Linked DNA regions of Drosophila melanogaster. The protein of the gene in region 3 interacts with the protein of the main gene of each other region in a pairwise test. Each region holds a gene or a part of one and is shown on either strand. Other genes may lie near its edges. The genes, in order: Cpr100A, Had1, Cpr97Eb and Nrt.

Evidence for each region.
Region 1: the proteins of Cpr97Eb (region 3) and Cpr100A interact in a two-hybrid assay, tested with the Drosophila melanogaster proteins (one large-scale study listed by BioGRID).
Region 2: the proteins of Cpr97Eb (region 3) and Had1 interact in a two-hybrid assay, tested with the Drosophila melanogaster proteins (one large-scale study listed by BioGRID).
Region 4: the proteins of Cpr97Eb (region 3) and Nrt interact in a two-hybrid assay, tested with the Drosophila melanogaster proteins (one large-scale study listed by BioGRID).

What each region holds. Positions count from the first base shown.
Region 1 is NT_033777.3:30,865,299-30,870,647, reverse strand, and holds Cpr100A (cuticular protein 100A), read right to left. Parts: upstream 3,128-5,349; 5' UTR 2,977-3,127; coding exon 2,965-2,976; intron 2,742-2,964; coding exon 2,494-2,741; intron 2,431-2,493; coding exon 1,965-2,430; 3' UTR 1,464-1,964; downstream 1-1,463.
Region 2 is NC_004354.4:16,305,588-16,311,473, forward strand, and holds Had1 (beta hydroxy acid dehydrogenase 1), read right to left. Parts: upstream 3,081-5,886; 5' UTR 2,689-3,080; coding exon 2,651-2,688; exon of another isoform or gene 2,582-2,650; coding exon 2,203-2,581; intron 2,112-2,202; exon of another isoform or gene 1,961-2,111; coding exon 1,430-1,960; 3' UTR 1,325-1,429; downstream 1-1,324. Other genes in the region: CG3679 (uncharacterized protein), read left to right, coding at 1-627; CG9915 (uncharacterized protein), read right to left, coding at 4,598-4,720, 4,792-5,199, 5,268-5,631, 5,691-5,844.
Region 3 is NT_033777.3:27,088,652-27,094,009, forward strand, and holds Cpr97Eb (cuticular protein 97Eb), read right to left. Parts: upstream 2,480-5,358; 5' UTR 2,341-2,479; coding exon 2,329-2,340; intron 1,956-2,328; coding exon 1,260-1,955; 3' UTR 1,053-1,259; downstream 1-1,052. Other genes in the region: CG14258 (uncharacterized protein), read left to right, coding at 4,528-4,612, 4,684-4,930, 4,985-5,118, 5,175-5,358.
Region 4 is NT_037436.4:16,763,108-16,769,570, forward strand, and holds the start of Nrt (neurotactin), read left to right. Parts: upstream 1-2,964; 5' UTR 2,965-3,433; intron 3,434-6,463. UniProt on the Drosophila melanogaster protein: May mediate or modulate cell adhesion between embryonic cells during development.

The DNA.
Region 1 (5,349 bases), 3.8 Mb from region 3:
GAATTCGTCACCAAAGTGAATCCGATAAGGAGTGTTGCTGGCTTATTTGCTTAAAAAAAAAAAGATTATATCACTTAACTCAATTGCAAATAACCTTTCAATTTAATGATGTTTTCAAGTTTATAATACGCCACTTTAATTAAATATATTAATTACTCATCAATTTAATTGGATTCTGTATTCGTCACACCCACATCGCCATAATTGGAGTGAGTTCCACATTTCACGACAAATTCTGGCGACGTTTACCTTTTTAAAAATAAACGCAGTCAATCATAAACGTGTGTTGTTCATAAAAATAGACGTATTAAGAACACTTTGGAAGCAACACACCCATGAGACACCTGTTTCGATCCCAGGCAAATTCTCGACTCTTACCTCTTTCGCAAATCCGAACGAAAATCCGCAATTGAGCAAGCCAATTCAATCGATTGCGATTGCCGCAAAAGTGGGTGCACAAAGGCACGCGGAGAAGAAATCATAAAAAGCAATAAGTAGCAAAAAACAAAACCGAATTGATTTTCTTAATTGACTAAACAGTTTCAACAGAAGCCAGACCCCAAAGCCAGGCAAAGCAAAAATCCAAACTCCAAGCCGGACCCTCGAGTCCACAACAAATCTGACCTTGAAAGCTAAGCTCTGAAAAGTGTTGCTAATATTGTTAATGTAATCGTTGTCGGTGGTGAAAAGGAATGCCAACCAATGGATGTGGAAAGTACAGAGGGAAAAATGCTAAAAATAAAGACAACAATAAAATGCTAGCACTAAAAATATTTAAAAAATAAGTAAAAATGGAATCATGAATAAAATATAGTCAAATTAGAATAGATTTTGAGAGATATTGAATGAAATCAATTATTTCAGCATGCCCTGAATTAATTTATTATTTCCGAAGTAAATATATAGGTATAAGTGCAATTAAATAATAGAATAGCAATCGGTGCTCGAATTAAGTTGTAAACTATAACACACATATGCTGAGAACTCAGCAGGTGAGAGGAAATAGCAAATTAGCTGGCGGCATTCTTGCGTTCGATGGTGCATAAAATATGCAAAACATTTGGATGTTATTAAGTTGCACTAACGCAACTGGAGCCTGACGGATCGCAATACCATTGGGAATTGATTTAGAGCCCCAATCCCCTAATGAACCAGTGCCACCCCCACTTGCACATGGTTTTCCGGCTTAGCCAGCACCAGCACACCAGGCTGATTTCATTTTCATCGGAATTTTGCACAATTGGCCAAGATTACTGTCAAATGAGCGAAACCCGTTTGAGGTCTTTCCTTGTTGGCCGCATAGAATCGTAACAGAAACTCGAAACTTGTTTTGCACGTACGAAAGTCGGTTGTGTAATGCCGCATTTAGTGGGCGTTCACCACCCGAGGTGTTTAGATAAATCTGCTGGAAATTAAATAAGCGGCCACTGGCCGAAAAACAAAAGACTGCAGGACACGAACTTGGTTTCCTTCATATATTGTTTTTACTCGATTATAGTACAAATTGCTCAGACGTCCCAAGGCCCAAATTAACATAGTTTCTAAATTAATTTTGATCATTTTTCAACATCATCGAAGTTTATTGACTTCTCTTTTCTTGGGAAGACTTAAATGGAAAGATTAAAGTTTAATGGGAAAGTCACAGAGAAAAAGGCCGACATTTCTTGAGTTTTTTCATATTTCAAAAATATGCAAATGATATTTTGAATATATTTTGTAATTTAAATCAGCAATACCCATTGGGCAGCAGCGATTAATTTTCTCTGTGTAGGATTATAAATTAATAACAAACAGTACGCATATAGGAAGTACGATACAATTGCTCTTAAACATATCACACGAGAGTTTGATGGAGTCAAGAAAAGAGTAGGGGTTCTAGTTGTGATAGGGAAAGTTGGAAAAGAAGAAAGAGGATCCCTACTAATGAAGAAGATGCATAATGTCTGAGTGGAGGACAGTGGGGCTTATACCTTGTTGAAGGAGTAGGTGAAGCCATCGGGCGTGCGGTTCAGGGACAGTTTGCCGGGTGGCGAAAAGCGGTGTGGGTTGGGGGTGGTGGTGGTGTAGTACGCCTGCTGGGGTTGCGGCTGCTGATACTGGGGTTGGGGCTGCTGATACTGAGGCTGGTACTGCTGCTGCGGCTGCACGGGCTGTGGGTTGTAGGCGGGCTGGGGAGCAGGACGGTACTGCGGCTGGGCAGCGGGCTGCTGGTAGCTCTGCTGGTTCTGTCCGAAAGAGGGATCGTTGTAGCGGGGATCGTAGGAACCATCATCTCCGTAGTCATTGCTGCGGAAACTGGCCTGCGGCTGGGGAGCGGGAGCCTGGTACTGCTGCGGCTGGTACTGCTGCTGTGGCTGATATCCCGCTGTGGGCACGGGCTGTGGTGGAGCAGGTGGTGCCTGGGGCAAGTGATCTCCAGAAGCTTGGAAACTATTTCGGAATAAAAACCAAATTAATACAAGTTCGGGTATTTGTTCTATAGAAAGTGCTTACCCATTTTTGCCAGCTGTGTACGAAATAGTACGCCTCTGGCCCGTGGGATCCAGATAGCTGTAGCTGCCATGACGTGTTCCATCCGCATCCGTCTCCTCCTTGAAGTTGATGCCATCCTCCTGCTCATAGGCAGCTCCGAACTTTCCATCTCCGGACAGATAACGCTGCTCACTGATGATGGCCGCCGTTTTGGGATCCTGGTGATAGTGCTGGCTGGAAGCCAGGGCCACCAAGGTGGTCAGTGCAAGCTGTCAAGAATTCAAAATTTATTGTACAATCAAGTATTTGTGTGCTGCCAATTCCTTAATCTGAGTCATTATCACTTAACGTATTATAAGGTAAGACTTTCACTATTTAATGTGTACTCTAGAATATCCTGGTTTGAATTGACACTTTTGTCCGTCAGTTTGATTACTTTTCTCTTAATAGCTTTTAAATTGTTCGAACAGCCTTGAATAAAACACAACTCACAAATCTGAACATTTTGGTGTGGGGAATATCCTTGTCAAGCGTAAACTGCACACAATTTTATCTTCTTCTCGAGGGGGATTCACACGCGCCTTTACGCTTACAAGTCGGTTAAGAGGGAAATGGGACCGACGGCAACGGATTTGTGGAGTTAACTGCCTTCCGCAACGGTGCCGCCCAAGCTTTTTATAGTCCGAGCGGGAACCTTGGATCGCTGGATCGCCGATCGACTCCGCCTAGGCACTCCAAGCTATGTAATTGTGTTGGTACTATTAACGTTAACGGCAACAACAAGTCGGCCAAGTCGGCGTAACAATAACAAGAATCGAGCTAAGTGCTCCAATAAGTCAACTTTGGGCGAGTATTGGTATCGCGGTCGTGTTGCCAAGTCGTTTTACCAGTTTCGATCTCTTTCGCTTGGAGCGCCAACTTTTGCTTTCTATATATACGAATATATGCTATATGCACTTAGTTCCACCGTTTCTGCCTGCACCAGGCCCAAGCCCAAGACGAAAATATTTTTTAATTATTTCAAAAGTTTTTCAGCTGTAATCCAGCCTCAGCGCAGAGGTATCCTCATCTGGGAGGGGATCTATCGAAACCAGGAATTACCAATTAGTTCTGCAGAGCATGATGCAATTTTAATGGCAATAGTTTAGTTTAAGAGTAGGAAAAAAGGAAAATGTATGGAAAATACAAATAAAACGGGATATAAAATAGATTGAATAATAGTATTGTATGCCAATAATGTTGGCCTAAGCTAAAAAACAGAAATAGAAAGTAACTACAACACCCTGTGGAAGAAATTGGCAAAAGCCTCGTCTTTATTGTCTTTTTGATTTTTCCAGTGTGAAAAGCCCGTGGAAACTGTCGATTGTGATGGATAACTGGGCGGTCGCCCTCTGCTGAAAATCCGAACATATCTTGGGAAATTCGCCAAATGAGCGTTGTTAACTTTTCACTCCCCTCTTCAAGTTGTAAAGTTGTAAAGCCGTTTGTTTGCCTTTTAGCTGGATTTGCGTTCTGCATGTGCATGGCCAAGTTGATTTATATCTAGATCGGACTGAAAAGCTGGACTTTGTGGTGTGGCCAAAAGCGCTTGGCAACAATCGCCAGTGTTACCGCAATGTGTTTGACTTGTTGACTCTGCGCTGGCTTCAATTATTTATTGTGTTTGAAATGTCTGGCATTGTTTGGGCTTGTTTATGGCCAAAGCAGTTGGCCGCCCACCCACATGCCACACGCCCACTCCCACGCCCCCCACTTTGCGTAATGTTTGCAGAGAACTTTTGGCATTATTTATGATCTAACAATGCAAACAGGTCTGCATCTCCAACTTTGGTTATTTGAAGTTTTATATCTAGAGTCAAATTAACATTACATTATCTATATCGATATTCATTTTAATTTTAAAGAATTTTTCTTAAGCCCTAAAATTGAACGTAAAGAGAATTAGAGCATTTATGTATGCAAATCGGGTTTTCATATTTTAATGAGCGATTTCCACACAGCGGCACACTCTTGCACACAAAGTAGCCGCATGGGGTCGAAGATTTCGAGTAGCAACACTCTCATTTACACCGTTATTTGCCCTTTTGCAAGTCGCCATCGTCTGAACATCGCCATCATCATTACCATCGTCATTATCCGGCGGTCTTGTTTGTGTGGCCAAAAGCGGAGAACGCCCTCTCGCAGCAGGAGGCGGTGATCAGAGCAGAAAGCGGTAAAAGGAGGAGGAAATTAAATCAGTTGACAAACAACAACAGGAAACTGCAGCTATGGCATATAGTTCCGGAATATATACTTGATGTGCGAACGCCATGGCAAGGAGGCGATGGCAAGAGCAGCGGATCCAAGGTGAGGCCGAGCAGTTGAGCATGGCCGGATTAGCTTGAGGGTGTGCCCATCGGAGGGTTGAAACGGTCTAGCTACAGTGATCACTCGGAAACTAGAAATTCTAGAATTTCCTCTACTTAAAATATCTATAGAAATGGAACTACAGTTATATCTAAAATATTTAAAGATCCTTTTCTCTTTATTCCTATAGCATTATCTATATTTCCAACTTTATTATTAATTAATTCAAAATATTTCATCTAGTTAAGTAACTAAATCCGTCATGCTCGAGCGGCCACTGTACTCCCGAAGCGTCCTTCTTCGCTGGCCTCTCTGCTGCTGCCTTTTTGATTTCCATTTCGATTTTGAGGCGTTTGCCTGATGCGACGATACTGCCACCCAGAATTTCGAGGGAGGGAGTGGCACCAGGAGGTTGATTTTTGTTGTTATTTCTGTTGTGATTCCGCCGTCATCTCCAGCAGTCAGAAAGAGATGGCTGACGGGCCCATTCAGCGTTTTATTTGTCAGGCTTTCACTTTGGCCGAGTTAATC
Region 2 (5,886 bases), on a different chromosome or scaffold from region 3:
ACTAAGCCAATGCCTCTACGTGAGACCAATGCGGCGGGCTCAATGCGCCGTCGATCGTCGTCGCTTTCCATTCAGGACAAGTCTAAGCTGCCCCGGGAAGTCCTGAAGTCCGATCGCCAGGTGGAGAATCTTCCGCCGCCCAAGGAGACCAAGAACACAGCCACTGTTGGGCCGATGGGTGCAGCAGCTGCCTTTCGCCAGAGGAGCAACTCCTTCTCCACGCCAAGTAATCCGTCCACAAAGGCCTACGAGAACAGGCGTACTCTAATGAGCAGCCGCTTGAGGAATCCAGCCATAAACGAATCGGTGTCCAAACCCAGTGGAAGTGTTAAGGCGACGAAGCCCATCAAGCCGGTGGTTCCCATTATGAAAGTGACCGCAAGCAACGATTCCACCTACCTGAATCCGTTCCATCCGCGTGTACCCGAAACGCCCATCTCATCGAGGACCAAACCCGCCCAAAACATATCCTGCACGAGCACACCACTGCCACAAATGCGCACCCAGCAGCGCAGATCCCTGAAGCCAATGGCCATGACCGCAGGATCGGGATCCCTGTCAAATACCTCCTATTCGACGCCCAGCATTAGGGGGCCGAGCTTCTGCAAGAAGAGCGGTTCCGGCTAGAGGATAGAGAGCGTGCATTGCGTAGGAATGGGGAATGGGGGAGCACTTCCTTGGCCCGTGGGCGGTGGCGCAATGTCGCCTGAAAGTGAATTCGAATGTGATGTCTGAGGTCAAGTTTTTAACCTTGCAGATAAACCGACAATGTGAAAACGGCTTGGCTATCTCCCCCATATATTTTTGTTTGTTCCATTTGTTTTTCCTTTTTTTTTTTTTTGGCCGACGTCACAAGATAAAGCGAACTGATATGCAGTCTGCACTCCATACTAAACGTTAGCAAATTAGTTTTCGTTTCGAAACGGATTAGCAGTGGAGCCAGTACTTTATATTTAATTTCCACTCGAACTGAACGAACTAATTAGTTAATTTATCTTTGTTAACTACTCACTAACCCACTAAGTTACCTTGCGAACTCATAGTGCTTGAAATCCCTTTCTCATTTCCCTATGTTTTTGAAATTCCACTGAAGTGGAGTTGATTAAAGAAGAGATTTAATAGTAAGCCAAGCATATCAGAAGAGAATAAAAATAGCATTTAAGAGGCAGGTGAAGCCGTTTGACCACAAGTATCCTACGTTTTAAGGATTTGTCCATTGATGTAATACCTAGAACTAGTAGCTTGCAAAGCACACTCCCTATTAATTTCGCTTTTCGCAGCTGTCTTGAAAGACCAGCGAGGAATAATTCAATAAAAAGAGATTATCAGTTAAGCAATTTCCGTATATTTAACGTATGTGGCGCTAGCATATCACAACAATGAAGAAAAAACAAAAAAAAAAAAACGCAGCAGCAAGATAATAATGAGTTTACTGGTTGAGCTTGTTCTTGAGAATGCTCAACTGGGTGAGGCAGTTGTCGCGGTAGTTGCGGCGTTGGGCCAACTGATCCAGCGGCACCATCTCGCCCAGCTGCTTGGCCACCTCGACGGCGACGGGGCCCTCCATTTTCGGTGTCGGTCCCATTGTCTCGCTAACCGCATAGATGGTGTTCGAGTAGCGTTCGAAATAGTTGGCCATGCCCTCGGCATTCAGATGGGCCGTCTCCAGGGGACCCAGGAAGGCGTAGCGCGGTCCCAGTCCATTGCTCATCACGCTATCGATGTCCTTGACATTCAGGATGCCGGCCTCGACCAAACGCCATGTCTCGTTCAGGATGGCATACTGGATGCGGTTGAGGGCGAAGCCCTCGATCTCCCGCGACAGCGTAACTGGTTTCTGGCCAATCTCCTCCATCAGGGCACGGGTCTTCTTCACCCATTCCGGTTTCGTCCACGGCGCAGGCACGATCTCGACCAGAGGCACGTAGTACGGTGGGTTGACGGGATGCGAGACCAAAACCTGTTCACGAAATCAAGCGTAATTGGGCTTAGTCATTGCGGCGATCACATCGAAATCCAAATAAATGCGAATCAAATTGGGCACAAGGACGGCGCAGCTTTAAATTAAAGCAATTGCAGCTAAGAATGTTTCTTAAAACAATAAGCTGTTTGTATGTATTACGATTAACTATTCTTTTTACCAAGTAATCAGCTCAAGGTGGAGATATACTATGGCTCACTAATCTCAAGAATTCAACTCACATTGGCCTTGTTTTTCAGATCCGCGCTGAAGAGGGAGGGCAGAAAAGTGCTGGTGGAGCTGGAGAGGATGGTGTTGGGTCCGACGACGGCGTCCAACTGCTTGTAGAGCGCCTTTTTCAGATCGAGACGCTCGGGGATGCACTCCTGGACGAAGATGGCGCCCTTGACCAGCTCCTTGAGGTCGTTGGTGCCGGAGATGCAGGCGAATTGCTGGGCGGCGGTCAGTTTGCCGCGTAGCAGGCCCTTGGCCTCCAGATCCTGCAGCTCCTTCTGCGTGGCAGTCAGAGCGGTGGACACCTGCTCGGGCAGGATGTCGTACAGCACCACCTGGTAGCCCACCGAGGCGAACAGCATGGACCAGGAGCGACCAATTAGACCGCTGGAATGGTAACACCGCCAGTCAGCACCTGGATATCCTAGCGAATAACAGCTTCCTGCTCCAACTCACCTGCCCACAATGCCAACTTTCTCGTTCTTTGCCGACATCTTTGTTTATTTACTTTTGCCGATTTACTTCGGTGGAGTTGGATTTAAGAAGGAGCTATGGAGGAGCTATTGCTGTCGACCGCCACTTGGCACAGCGTACATGCGTTTGAGCAATTAGACGGCAGCGCAACCGGTTTAATATTCGGCGATAACCACGCCAGAGGTGAACCCAAAAACGAGAACGAGACCCGAGCCCAAGTGTTTGTGGGGTGTTTGCGGACGCGCTTGATGGGTGTCGCTGGAGATTTCGGAGGAGATAGTGGGCCGTGCGATAACAATGCCGCCCCGTTGGGCAATTGGACGATGCTGCCACGCCCACAGCGCTGTATACACATCATTGAGCTGCCGCGTACCTTGCATTTAGTGCATTTAGGCTTTGAATGCAGGCCCTAAAGTTGTTGAAATTATGTATTTTTTGTTAAATACTATATGCTAGCTAGCAAGCCAAGGAAAATGTAAATGATTGTCCAGAAATTGATTTATAATCATAATTAATTAAAAGAAACCCTGCAAGCAACTCAGTTAATTAAACTTATAAAAGCCAGCATTGGTACACTTCATTTTGATAGCTTTTACCTTGGCTAGGTACGCAGGACGGGTACCTGTACCTTTTCCAACCGGTATTTTCCACTCGCGTGGGTGGAAGGGGGGCTGGTTGTGTGTGTGAGATAGTCCATCAAAAGTTCTCAAGGAGCTACCAATTTCCTAGCGGGTGTCACACGACAAAACTGTGCCAAGATGCCCTTAATTTGACTTTTATTAATAATGCCATTTTATAATGTTAGTTTAGCTACTACGGCGGGTATCTTTGTGATTGTCCGTGCATTTATGTATGTATGTACATATGTATTTGCTACCGGCACAAAAATAACCCCGCGAATTGTTTACTAAGCTTTTTAAGCTTTCGCTGTCTTAAATATAAGGCAATAAAATATTGTAAATATGTATGTTTGTAGAGCAAATGGCAATAACTACGTCAAGTATTATCAATCTGATTCGAGCGTTTCGTTGTAAAACTATTCTAAATATACGTTTTTTCAATGCTCTGCCTGTTCAAAATTGCAACCATAGTCTATAGAATATTCTTAAAAAATGTTTGTGAGTTGTAAATGCAAAGATCTATTTGGTTTGTTTAGTTTAGTTTGTTTAATCTCTACTGACATATTTATCACTTCATTTCTTGTGCGAGATATACCTGGAATGGTACAAATTTAACTTTTAGTTTCTCCAATCTTTGGTTTTTTCCACATAATAAATTAAACGCGACGTCTTAAGATTAGAATGGAAAACATGATCTTGCTTTTCTCATTTGCAATGAATATACAAATCATAAGGTTTCTTCGTGTTTTTAACTTAATATGAAAGCAACCAGACTAAAAATATAATAACCTTTGAAAGAGTATACAAAAGTAATCCTCTTGAAGGATTAACGTTTCCATCTTTAATTAATGGTTTAATTGCTCGTTTTTTGTTTAAGCCAGTATGGAAAGACGAAGAGAATCTGATTAGTGTGTTAAAAGTGAAATTTGTATTGCTATTTTGTTGCTTAACTATTTTATTTGTTTAATGTAATAATGCAAAGTGCAGCTAATAATTAAATTAAGTCTACTTTGCAGCCCAACTGAAAGCTGTAATATCTAATCGGTGAATTCGTATTAATTCAATTACACATGTGCATATTTACAACTAATTTAGTAGCTAATTTAGCTTCCTGATAAGATGGCGGCCTGCATGGATCTCCCATCTCTTTCCTTTTGACTTTGGATTCTAGCTTATCGTTTTCAATGCCTCAAATGGACCCGAAAAATTCAAAAGGCCAGCGTTTCTCGCGTTTAGTTATATTCAAAAATATACATTTTTTTTTTTAATTTCGTTCTATTATTTAATTTAAAGTTAGCTAGAATGCTGCTTATAGTGCCATCTTTCGACCCTCTATCGATATCTCAACGGCCCTGCGGCTCTCCTTCAGTCGCTTTGAGTCCAGGAAACGTTTCATGTGCTTCTCGTAGCGGTTTGGCTTGCGTTTTGTCGACTGAAATGAGATTCAATGGAATCAATGAATAAGTGGAGGCGAAAGCCAGGGCTTTATGCTGGACTACTTACCGCGGAGACTTCACCCTCGACGGTTGACTTTGGGCGGATGACGTAGTCCTTGTTGGAGGGCATGGGAACACGAGCGCGAGCCACCCAACCGGGATCTCCGGGACGCAGCATCTTGTCCTCGTTGGAGAGGGTCTGATTTAAGGTAGGTGCTTTGCTGCTGGAGGAAGGCTCTGTATCCGGACTCTTATGCCGATGACGTGACATCTGCGCCAAATCGCGCTCCTGACGCTCCTCCTTGCTCATCGCTGAGAAGTTGCAGCTAACGTTGAATATCGGCCGAGCCCATTCGGAAATCAGGCGACCAGCGCGATCGCGATTCGACTTGGTCTCCTGGGGGTGTTTGTACAAGTACATCACAGCCTTGCCAATGCCCGACTGTTTCAAAAGTCCCTTTTCAATGGTAGGAAACTAAAGATGGAGAATCCACACATTAGAAGCCATAATATAATATATAATAATCTAAGCATGCCACTTACATCTGATAACAGTTTAAGAATACTCTCGCGTATCTGAAGACATGGCAGACTTTTGTTTGGCAGGGGCGCTAGCCAATCTGTAAGTACATTGAGTATATTGTGCTCCAAGAAGGCCAGCTGCAAGTGCTTCTTGATCAGCTGTGACATCACTTGCTTCAGCATGGAAATCTTCTTTGTGGCCGGCTGACCTATCATGTTCAGCTGACGGTCGTCGTCCGAAGCGTTCTTCATACTGACTATAAGCTGATCGATCAGATCATCGTTGTCGTTGATCAGATCAATATCGCGCTTGCGCCGACGCACTCGCTTCTCTTCCTTCTTTCTCATGAGCATAGCATCAAAGTCGGAAATAAAGTTACTGTTCCTGCAATGGCAGTAAATGTGGGGTTAAAATCTATTCGCCTGAAGGAAACGAAGTCTTACTCTGGTTCATTTGAAATTGGTGTGTTCTCATCGTCAGAGCTCTCTGTGATTTTGTCTTGTGATTTCTCTTTGCCTATGCCCTTGTCCTGCTCATCCTCTTCATTGTCTGTGTCCGTGATTTTTACACGCTTCTTTGTCACCTTCGGTCCGTCGTCTACATTGAAATAATACATAAATTAAGGTGCTTTTAAAGTTG
Region 3 (5,358 bases):
TAATTCAGAGCCTGTAATGTGTGCTTGTGCACTGCTTTTTAAGAGGTGCAGTCTGGACTTGATTCTTCGTTGGTGCCGCCAGCAAAACGCTTTGAATTTCTGACTTGGCCAACTGGCACAGTGGAAAGGAACTTGAATAGCTCACACAACCGAATGTATATGACAAACTATAAATAGTGGCTTTAAAGTTAAACGGGGAATAGCTCTTAGTTATTTAACAGCTACTTTATTAGCTACTTTGTGGGTTTGCTGTAACCATATATATAAATTGCTAATCATCCGTTTTAATAAAATGAAAAACCTTCAGAAAATTTGAGTCAAATTCAATTAAATTACCTAATTAATAGCTTATTTAAGCTAACGAAAAGTTAAGTACCACACTGATTTAAGCTCATTGTTTGGCCATTGATCCGTGGGTGACTTCCAATTATCCAACAAGCTTCAAGCCACTTCTTCCAGTACCTGCAGTCCCCACACCCAAAAGACAAAGGCAGTTGAGCCACCACCCAGCACCAAGTACATAGACCATAGACCATAGACCATACTTATGGCCAACAGCTTATGGCCAACTGGTCGGCCGTTGGTGGCAGTGCATTTGAAAGTGGTTTGGGGCCAGCACATTGCATAAGTGCACCAAATTCCAGTCAACAGCAAATCCACTTTGGTTTTCAATCTGAATCGGCCACAATGCTTGCCTTTTTTTTGTAGTTTTTTGTTGTTTTGGCTCGATCATTCTGTGTTGACGTAATGGCCTAACGATTATTGGCCACTTGCTGGGCTCTTTGCCTTTATTTCAATCGGCTGGATTTTGCTACAATTTCTGCTGTGGGGCGGCTTAATTGAAGCGGAACCTGGTAGTTGGCTAAATTGAATGCCAAAGCAGATATTTCAAATACTTCTGAGCACTGAGAATAATTACTTAGCAGTAAATGACAGCGAAAAGGGTAGCGTAAATTGATTGAATGTTTACTAGTTGTCTTTAACACCCTAATTGCCTTTGATTTTCATAGCAATTACCAAAACATTTAATGATTTCAGAACACTTTCGTTTTCTCTGTAAACGCTTCAGGTTTCAAAACTCGATTTATTACACACATTCAAGAACATATATAAACAGGTACAGTAATAGATACATGTGTGGGGTGTGCGGAGTGACTGATTTATTTGGCAGTAACAAGTTGACATTGTCCTCGGACACTTCAGTCCCTGACTCTCTGGCCCAACTCAGAGGTGATCCCCCCATCAAAAGGTCCTCCTTCCTACTTCCGGCCCGTATAGTCGATGCTATAGGAACCGGTGTAGAGGTTGAGATTTCGCAGGGAGGGATGATGTTGCTCCGGCAACCCCCTGTATGGCTGTTGCTGCTGGGGATTATAGTAGTTCTGGGCCGGAGGCTGGTAGTAACGGGGCTGCGGAGCCGGGGGATTGTAGTATTGGGGTGTGGGATTGTAGTAGGGCGTTTGTGGGGCGGGCTGCCGAGGTGGCGGGGCATACGCCTGCTGCTGGCCGCGGCCGAAATCGTTCAGACTGAATTTACTGGCCGGTGAAAGGGGGCGATTGAACTTCTGGTCCTTGTAGTACACCGAGGGGTCCTCACGATACTGGCCATCGTCCAATTCGTTGGGTCCCAATGGATAGGGATTGCTGTTGGTCAGCGTAGGTGGTGGCACATTGATGTGACTGCCAGCGGGCTCAAAGCCACGCTTACTGGCTCCATACTCTATTTCCCGCACTTTTCCCTGGTCATCCACATAACCGTACTTTCCATAGACCTCTCCATTCGCGTACTTGGTTTCGATCTTGAAGCTCTTATCGGCCGCTTCGTATCCATATGTGTAGGAACCATCGTCGTTGTGCTTGTCGATCTGCTTGAGAATGGGCACCGGTGTGGTGTAGTCCTGGTGTTGCGCATACGCACTGTGGGCCGCCAGAAGCAGAAGACCCAAGCTCAAGGTCTGCAAATTGAAAAACAAAGAGTTGAGTGAAAAAGTGACTCAAATCGTTTGTATCATTAAATCACCATTTCGGTCACACCCATCTGTAAAGTCAGCAATTATACATGAACTTTGCCTTTATTGCCTTACTTTTGGCTAAATACCTTAATTAGCTGCTCTGATTATCAGTTCACAAACATTCACTCAAGGACATGGCTGAGTAATGAACCACCAATTAAGTTACTCTTTATCATAGACACCGATCTGATCAAACCGGTTGGCTAAATTGCATTCTAAAAATTCACTGCGCATATTCTGAAAACACCTTTTGCATACCGATATGAATATCGAGCTTTGGAGATGTAACACTATAAACCACCTTGCTGAATCTTACCAATTTCAACATGCTGCCAAGCTTAGAACCAATTGTCAATGTCGAACCGTTTTCACCAATCTCCCAAAGTAGTTATGCACTGCGAAAATGGAAAATGTGTTCTGCACTTGCACTCGAGACTCTGCGAATCGAAACGACAAACTCAAAAGAAAATCAGGGCGTGCAACGCTTTTTATACCGCAGTCAACATTTCGCAAAAGCGGGCCAAGAGGGGAAAAAACCATGGCAGAAACTAAAGCTTCAAGCCGAAGTCTCTGGATCTGGCGATCAGCTGCGATCAGAAAACGAAAACGAATACGTTAACCGAGGCCCGAGCTCCCGATCCGATCCGAGAACCGATTCGACTTGGCTTGGAATGCAGCATAGAAATCGAAAGCGGTCGTCGGCCAGCTGTACTTACGTCCGATCGATATGCCCACTCACTCACCTCTACAGGTAATTCACTTACCAGCAGCAAGCCGACGCGCAGCAATTTCCAATCAGGTTGTTAATGTCGTCTACTCGAATTCTTGGCCAGCAATTTATGCTTCCAGACCGCAACACTCACGCATACGCAATGAGATCAGAGCAGCAACAGTGATGAGAACTAGGTACACTTGGTACACTTACACTCCATATCCTACTCATATTGGCACACTCTAGTTTGAGGTACAAAGTGCGATGTAAAATAGTTTTCAAGTGCCATCTAAAAACTTTTACAATTCACATCGATTTATCAGGTGTTAGTTATCTTTAAAGTTTATTTCATAGACACAATTAAAAAGTACCTTTGGCATCACTGAAATCTACAATCCAGAAAAGAATAAAATGCCAGTACTGCGAGGTGCGGAAGTGTTGCACTTGCTAAGCATTCCAATTATGCAAGTCAATTCCCCCCCACCTGCTAATCGATTGCAAATACCTGTCCAAACACCTTGCTCCCAGTTAAGTGCACTGGCCAATGGCAATCTGCATCCACAACATGCAATTTGACAGCTTATTTAGCCATTTCTCTTAGCCTGTCAAAACTCACACTTGAAGCTAGGAAAAGAAAGCAATACAAAAACTTATATGCTGGCATACTGACCTAGTCAATGCTTTGGCTAAAGAAACAGGTTGCTGAAATTACGTCATAGATAGGCAGAAAAAAATGTGATGGTTTGACTAGATCTCTGGAGATTTCTAGAATTTAAATTAGTTTATATGATGTTTTCTTTTTATTTCACAAACAACCAGTTAAGTAGGATCCAATTTATATAAAATAAATTGCCAAAATCCCCAAGCCACATTCAAAACAAACACAGTTGTCAACCTACATTATAATACTGAATTTATTCCATTTATTTCGGGGGATTTGCATTCATCTATCTGAAATCACATTCTACACTGTGCAAAATACACCAAATAACAAGTCATATAGCATATTCATCAAATAATAATGCAGAACCACAGATTTTCAGGTCTCACTGTGGCAAAGAATAAAAATGTATGCGTATTTAAAATAAGAAAATTCCCATGATACATAATTCATAATTAGTTGTTTTCTGTGTAGGTACTTATGTCAAAACCACAAGTTCGTTAACCCAAGAACCGCAGACCTTGGTCATGGTTGCATGCAGATAAATACATTCGCTTGGCTTCTTTTCCTCACTTGAGTATGCATATATGCAAAGATAGTTTGCTAGAATTGTCGCCTATAATTAATTGGAATATATATTCTTAAGAGAGATCTACTAAACTAAATAAATCCGTCAGCATTACAGTCGTCGCATCTTAATGATCTTGTAGAACCAGTTCGGCTCCAGCGAAAGTGAGATAGAATATATAGAATAGAATATATGTCTAAGTATCTAGATATATGTATTATGACAGTACTTTACAACTGGAAATGGAGTCGCCGGCGAGGCAAAGGCTAAGTAATATTATAAAAATTAATGCATTTTCGAGCTAGGGTATCGCATCAGATGAATCGAAAGATTTGGGCACCCTGTACGACCACAACAAGTCTAATGCGGCCAAACTCGTTTACTTACTAATTGTACCGAAATAAATAAAATAAATATATATAAATCGGCAAAACAAAGAAATGATTTTAAAAGTTATACATTCGAGCGGTCCATTTCGAATAAAATTACCGGCGGCCAGACAGAATCGTCATTTCAATCAGAGCATTCAAAGAAAACGGTTCTAGTCATCACATTTTGGAATAAAATTATCAAGATGCTTATTAAAGTTGCCAAGTTCCTGAGTATTGTAGCCGTACTCCTTTCAGCAGTCGAAGGAGCTAAATATCTGGCAGAGAAACGTAATAAACATTTAATACAACATATTTTGGTTGAGTTAAGTTAATAATATTCTTAAATGTACAACTTTCAGCCGACTTCCTAATCCCATGTATCGTGGGCGATCCCAACTTTAATGTCTGTCTGACCAAAAACTTCCAGAGTTTCTTCCGTCAGTGGAAGGACGGAATTCCCGGCTACAATGCCGTGGGATCCTTTGATCCTTTTTACATCAAGAGAGTGAAATTTACCCAGGATGCCAGCAGGTCTATAGCTATCAATGCCGATCTGAAGGAAGTCTATGTAGCAGGTGCTGGTCAAGCATTAGTCTTGGAATCCAGGTAACCTATTTAAAGATTCTGACGAAATCAAGTTTGACCATTAAAAATTCTCAGCTGGGATCCAAATCACTATGTAGCCAGGACTTTGATTTCCGTGCCCAAGTTGCGTTTCAATTTCGATTACAAAGTCAAAGGACACGTCTCAGCGCTGAATCTCAATGGTCATGGCAAGGGATACTTCGAAGCTGGTAAGATGCAATCTACAATTTATGCGAATTACTATCTTAAAGCCGGTTTTATTCAGAAAATGCTCTGTTATTGTTGGAATTGGCTGTCAAACCGCTGGCCACCTCAGATGGTTATTTCGCTGATGTGCAAAGTGTAAAGGTAAATTTCCGCGAGATCAAGCAATTCCGCATCAAGCTGGAAAATCTCTTTGGCGGCAACAAGGATCTGGAGGATACTGCACACATTTTGTTCAACGAAAA
Region 4 (6,463 bases), on a different chromosome or scaffold from region 3:
GAATTGGTTCCTTAATTGATTGTTTGAGTGGGGGGAAAATGGAGAAGTTTAAAGTGTACAAGTTACTGTTTCTAGAGCGAAGAAAAGTCCGCAGGGAAATTCCGTTTTTAGAGAGTTGAAATTGGCTTTAAACTTTAAAATTTTGAGCACTTGTTAACATTGTATTTTCAGCAATTTTAATTATTTTTCATAAATATATGTAAAGTGTATTAAAGGCAACGCTAATTGCCTCCTTCACCTTGAATCCTTTTTGTTTCCTTTCCCAAGTTTAATCACAATTTGGTTCTTGATCCCCACCTTCCAGTTAATTTGATCAGCCCACGTCCGCAGAGTTTGGCGTACATAGTTGCCAAGGGGGTTCCCCCGAACCAAAGAAATCCCCACCCACTCAACTCGACTCTTTGCCAGACGCACCGAGTTGCCTTTGAGGTGTTTAACCTCAGTTGCGAGGAACACTTAAAAGCGTTTCATGTTTTATCTGGGCAGGCGAGTCGAGTTCGGGGGACTGATTCCATTAAGGGGCGCCACAACACCACCTTAACACTTGCTGCGCCTGTTGTTCGCCACATGTCCCGCATCCCAGTGCCCAGAGCCCAGAGCCCAGAGTTCCATCCTCATCCCTGGAGCACCGGCCTCGCCCCTCGTTTTGGGTAAATAAAAGAGTAACTTTTGTGGTTGCCCTCAGACCAAGTGGGTGGTTCAGTGGTTGAGTAGTGGGTAATACACGAAAGTTTCGGTTTTTTATGTCCGAACATAATTTGCAACGGAGCTTAAACAAGACGCGCATTTTATGTTTAACTTCCTTGTTCGCTATTTGTAGTCGACTTTGCGGCGTTTATGGGATGGAAAGTGGGCGGGGCACAAGTTCCGCACCCCCAAAAACAAAAAGCCATATAATTGAGCTCAAACATTAAGCGGCTTTTCGAGGTTTTGCTTGGCATATTGAAACCGAATCATTGCTTGATTGAATTACATATCGTGGGGTTAGTGGTGCAGAGAACAGAACTCCCTCGAATTTCTTGAAGTCTTCGTTTTCGGTTTCCACACGTTTCCGGTTCAAATTTAAATTAAACTTGTTAATTATTCCATCCGAAGAACAACCCACACAAGACAGGAACATGTGTTCACTACTCCACTTCCTTTCCTTGGGCGTCCCACATTTTGCGGGTTTCCTCGTTACCATTTGCGATCATGATAATGATCCGATGCGATCATTTTGATCCTTCCCCTTCGACGTGACGGGCATGCGTCAAACTCAAATACGTATGTAACTCGAGCCAACCTTCACTTTTATTTTCTAGTTTCCTACCATATTTATTCCTTTTTTTCGGTAGCAGATGTCGCCTAACATCATGTCTAATGAAATGCTTCAGTAGCTCCACAATGAAATAGGGAACCCTCATAGTTCGGGGCGTGAAAGTTGTTGACATGTGGGTAGGAATTCCGTGGGGTAATACCTTTGGAAGAACAGGGGAATCGACTTCTAATACATTTCTAGCACGTGTCGTCATGGCTTCTGTTCTAATAATTCAACCGACACAAGTTCAATATAAATATTAAACTATGTACATACATAGGTATACAATGAAAATATTGAAATATTGAAAAATATTTACCAAACACTTTAGTTAAATGGGTAGCCTAATTGTCTGAAGACATATCTCCTACATTAGTTGATTACTCATAAATCATAAGCGTAACATTTTTATAAAATAGAGCACATACTATATAGTAATTGAAAGTATAATACTGGGGGAGTGCCCTTTATTAAATAAACTGCAACAACGTATGTTTTTCTCATAACTGTGGATGAATCATTCTGTTGATTTGCGTATCGCTCAAAATAAATGCATTAAAATCTTCTTTATAGTTTTCATTGCGCAAAAGTTGATTGAAAGAATCATTATATTTTGTCTTTCTTACCAAATAAGTGAATTTTCTCAGGGGTAGGGATATGAAACCCTATGCGAAAAGGGGTGTTGGGTTGGAGGTAGCCAAGGGTAAGGGTTTGTGCTGTAATGACGCATCAGGACGTGGAATTTCCCTACATATGCCAGATGTTCCCATCGGCATAAACTGCGCTTCAACACTTGCCGCCAGTTGATAAGCATTTGAAAACGAGTTTCAAAAACCGAAATCAAAACCTTTACTCAAACAAAAGTGCCATATCAACAAACTTCTTTCCCTTCCCCTTGCCAGCTTCCCTCTCTTTTTAAGAAAAATTAATAACAAAGAAATATAGGGAGATCGGCATCTACTTCTATTTGAAGCATGTACAACTCAGAAATTTTTAATAACTTTAAGTTTTATATTTATAAAGAGCTGTAGACTACGTAATACCTCTACTTTGGGTTTTGGGTGTTGACTTGAACAATTTATAACAATTTTACCCTATGTTCTCCTACATGTTCTATAAAGTATCTGATCTGATCATAATATCTGAGGTGTCTTGTTTCACTAACAATAAACGCTTTACCAAAACTACAATACCTTTTTCATAAAATCACCATCGAACATTTTGCACTTACTGTACAGGAAAACAAAGCCGCTACTTTTACTGCTGCTTTCCAGCCACCCCTATGATTTATAAATTTACAATGCCGGCTGCTTCCAGTTCCAGTGCACAGTGGTCCAGTTCGAACTAAATCATAAACATGAATTATGATCATGTCTAATAAGTTTAATTAAATTACTTATAAAATATTACAACAATTCGTTGTGTAGGTGTTTTCAATGCTAATCACTGTTGCTTGACATAATTTGTATACTATTATAAACTTACAAGTTATATCTTAAATTATGTTTTTTCTTTTTTTCAAGAGAGAAACATGTTCTCGCCGAAAACACGTTCCACTTCCAGTTCCCCGAATAAAAACAAATCCAAGAAAATTAACATTAACAGTTGCTGTTAAGACTCTGTTAACCGTTTCGAAGCCGCATGAATTGCATGACATCGAAACGGCGTCAGTCAGTTTTGTTCTGTTTTGGAAGCCGCACGCGTTTTCCCTCGCTCCGGTTGTGCTCGCTTTCGCATCGCACACACACACACACTCTCGCCGCACAGACGCGACCAAAAGAAAACAAAATCAAATTCGGCGCAAACAAGGAATAACTTTTTATATTCCTATTGTGCATCGTATGTTGTATTAAGTGCAAGAAATATATTTACACAAATCTAACAAAAACACCGCAACTACTTTTGTGCATTTTGTTTTGCTCTGTGCCGAAGGAGCGGAGAAAAGAAAAAACCGCAACAAATCAAAAAATCTGTGCGTTTGTTATACACACCTAAGTGTCCTGCAGGAAGGACATCGGGTTCATTTACGCCACCCGCTGTTTTCAAGGACCAACGGATTATTCCCAATTGCCACATTTCAACAAGTTCGAAAAAAGCAACACACATTTTACACAGTGTTTGCGAGAATTGAAAAAGGTAAGATTACAAATTCGTGTGAAGGACCTCGGGGATTTGTAGAAGAGGAAGAGCAGTTGAAAACAAATCGATGAATTGTAAATGAAGTCAAATTTGTCTGCCAACTTTAATAATTTAACAAGTGAATATGGACACTTCAAACTTGAAAGATTAAAATGTGATTATAATTGAATAAAACAATTTACATGCATATTTATTTAGTTTTATACAAATGTAAAGATTTTGGCCAAAAAGTTTATTGAAAAACGCTAATGCCGTAGCAATTGAAATCTGAGTTATTTGTGAAAAGTAGAAGATAAAAGATATAAGAGCTTAATTTGAAAACTTTTAAAATATGTCGGTATCCGATCTTGACGGCTCTAAATTAATTTATAATCCTCCACAATCCATAATTACCGAGGAAACATCTTACCAAAACAATTTAAATGGCGTCTCGAAAAACATTTCATTCCGAGCTCTTAATAAGATTAATGGGGCTTCACGATTCATTGATATAATCCCTCCGTAACGAAGCACACCCACCCCATCGTCATCATCATCTTACGCGTCTTGAGGTCTAATGGCTCGTGTCAATGATCAGACGGACTCTTTCCCTCAATAATTCCCATTTTCCATCCTTTCTAATGGCTTGTGTCGCGGCTCCGTATGAAAAACATAACCATTTGACATAAATCACGGCCCTGACAAATCCTTTTGAACATTTCATAAACATAATGTGTGTTAATCCTCAGATATTTCAATCCATCAACATCCAGAGTTTGGTGGATGGAGTTGCCCCAAAAATAGCGCGACCCCTTTGGTATCATTTGTATGCACAGTCAGACGCCGGCTTGAATAAATCCCCAAATAGTCATTCCGTAAACAAATGCAAAGGAAATTGTTGAAGGGATACGGATACCGGGAAAAAGGGCAATAATTCAATGATGAATTAATAGGCGCATGGAAATGATCACGAATTCCCGGGATCTTCAGAGAAAGTTCGAGTTGGCAGCTGCTGCTCTTCGATTCGCTCCAGAAAAAGAAAAAAAGACTTCCGGGGAATCGAGCAACTAAAAAGTGAGAAAAGCATCAACAAAGCCAAACAGAGGCACAACAAATGGGGTAGGAAAACGTGAAGATGCCACGCTGACGCAACATTTGCATTCGGAAAGAGATTTATGGAGGCAACTCCCCCGCCCATTGACTTTTCGCTCCAACTTCCCTCATTGTTTTGCCAAGTTTTCAAAAGACAAGAGCCGACATGATGATGTTGATGTGTGTGCCTCAGTATCTCATTTTCCCAATTTACCCCAAAATGTGTGTAATCAAAAGTTTTCGTCTTTACAATTCAATTTTAAATTGTTGTTCCTATGTAAGTGTTGCCTGCTTTCCACTCGAAAAGTAAACAACAATTAAGGAAAAACACAACAAGGCAAATGCAACAAGAATACAAAGCACGATTTTCAACACTTTTTCTCGCTCTCAATGATAAACAAAACTCGGCTATTTACATCTGGAGTTCATGGTCAAACAGTTTAAACAAAAATGGAGTTTTCATTTAGGAAATTGTAAATCCATCAGCAATAAGAACTTGAGAGTCAAGTGCTGCGATACGATCCCAAAACTCGAATCCCCTCAAGAGCTGCTGACAATTGACTAATGAGGGTTACAAGAAACCCCAGCGCAAATCATAAATATTTGTTGTTGACAATTCCAATGGCCCTGCAAGGAGCCTGGCTTCAAGGAATTCTCAGGGTTCTTATCGCGGAGGAAATCTTCGCTTATCTGCCTGAAAAAGGCAACGTGGTGCTAGAAAATATTGTGCAATAAAATGGAATGATATAGTGGAAGGACAGCCATGAGTTGTGAGGAAGGCAGTGTATGCAGACTTAACAGATACCCAGTACTTCCATTTAAGAAACAACTAATTGCATACATAATATTGGTTAAATGCACCAGGAACTTCGTGGTTCAATGCACTCAGTTAATGTTATAACATTCTCCAACAAATATTCTTGAATATAAGATATAAGATGTGTCTACCTCATCAAATCCAAGAGTACGCGGTATGCACAAACATTGAACCAACCAACGCAACTCAGGGCTATCCTATCCCATATCTTCAAGAGTTGTTTGCCCCTCGAGAGTAATTACAAATTCATAAAAATGGCCTGTTTGAAGTGGAAATCTCGTTCCGATTTTGTTTGCTCTTCCCACTCCAAACTCCATTTATTCCATTTTTGTTGTGCCAATCCCCTTGTCCTGGAACTAGGCGCCTTCCGCTGATCCTTTGAGGTTTGTGGGACTCTGTGCCCCTTTACCAGTTTCCGCTCTCTACCTGCCCCAGGAGATTGTTATCCATCAAAATAAAATGAGGGGAGACGACTGTGAATTCGCATCGCACGTGTATAAACCTTTGAGTCTTGCGGTTTCTGGTTTCTGCCCCTTTTGTACTGGAAATAAATTCAGTCTTATATTTCTTATGAATTATTATAGTATGTCCTCAAGTAGTTCTTAACAAACAAGTTTGTATATTTTTAAAGGTTTTCAACATTTGTTGCAACTTGCGATCTATCTTACCTATGTTTCTTCTTTATTTTTTCTAAGTGTTTCTCATGCTCCAGTGAACTTCACTCCCCCTTCATCTTTCCGACCCCTTCCGCATTGTTCTTTGAACACGTGTCAGCTTTGATCATTAATCACCCTTCTTTTGATTGCCTGGCGAATATGTGGCTCATCATTTTCCATTCTCCCACTTGGCCAACTTCAATAAATTGCCATGAAATTAAGCAACTTGAACAAAAATCCACAACACGGCATGATAAATCGTTAGATCAGAATATTTAAAGTTAATTTTAAAATGACCAGAGGCCATGTTATAAAGCAGGAGAAGGAGGAGGAGGAGACCCAATCCCCACCAGAAGTCCATTAGCATGGCGTCCGGATGACAAATTGACTTCGTTAGAAGTTTGCGATTTCCCTCGATGTCTGCCTCTTTTCCGACGTGGAAATTGGAGGCGCAAATTGAAAGATTATTATGCCTGAGGTTAT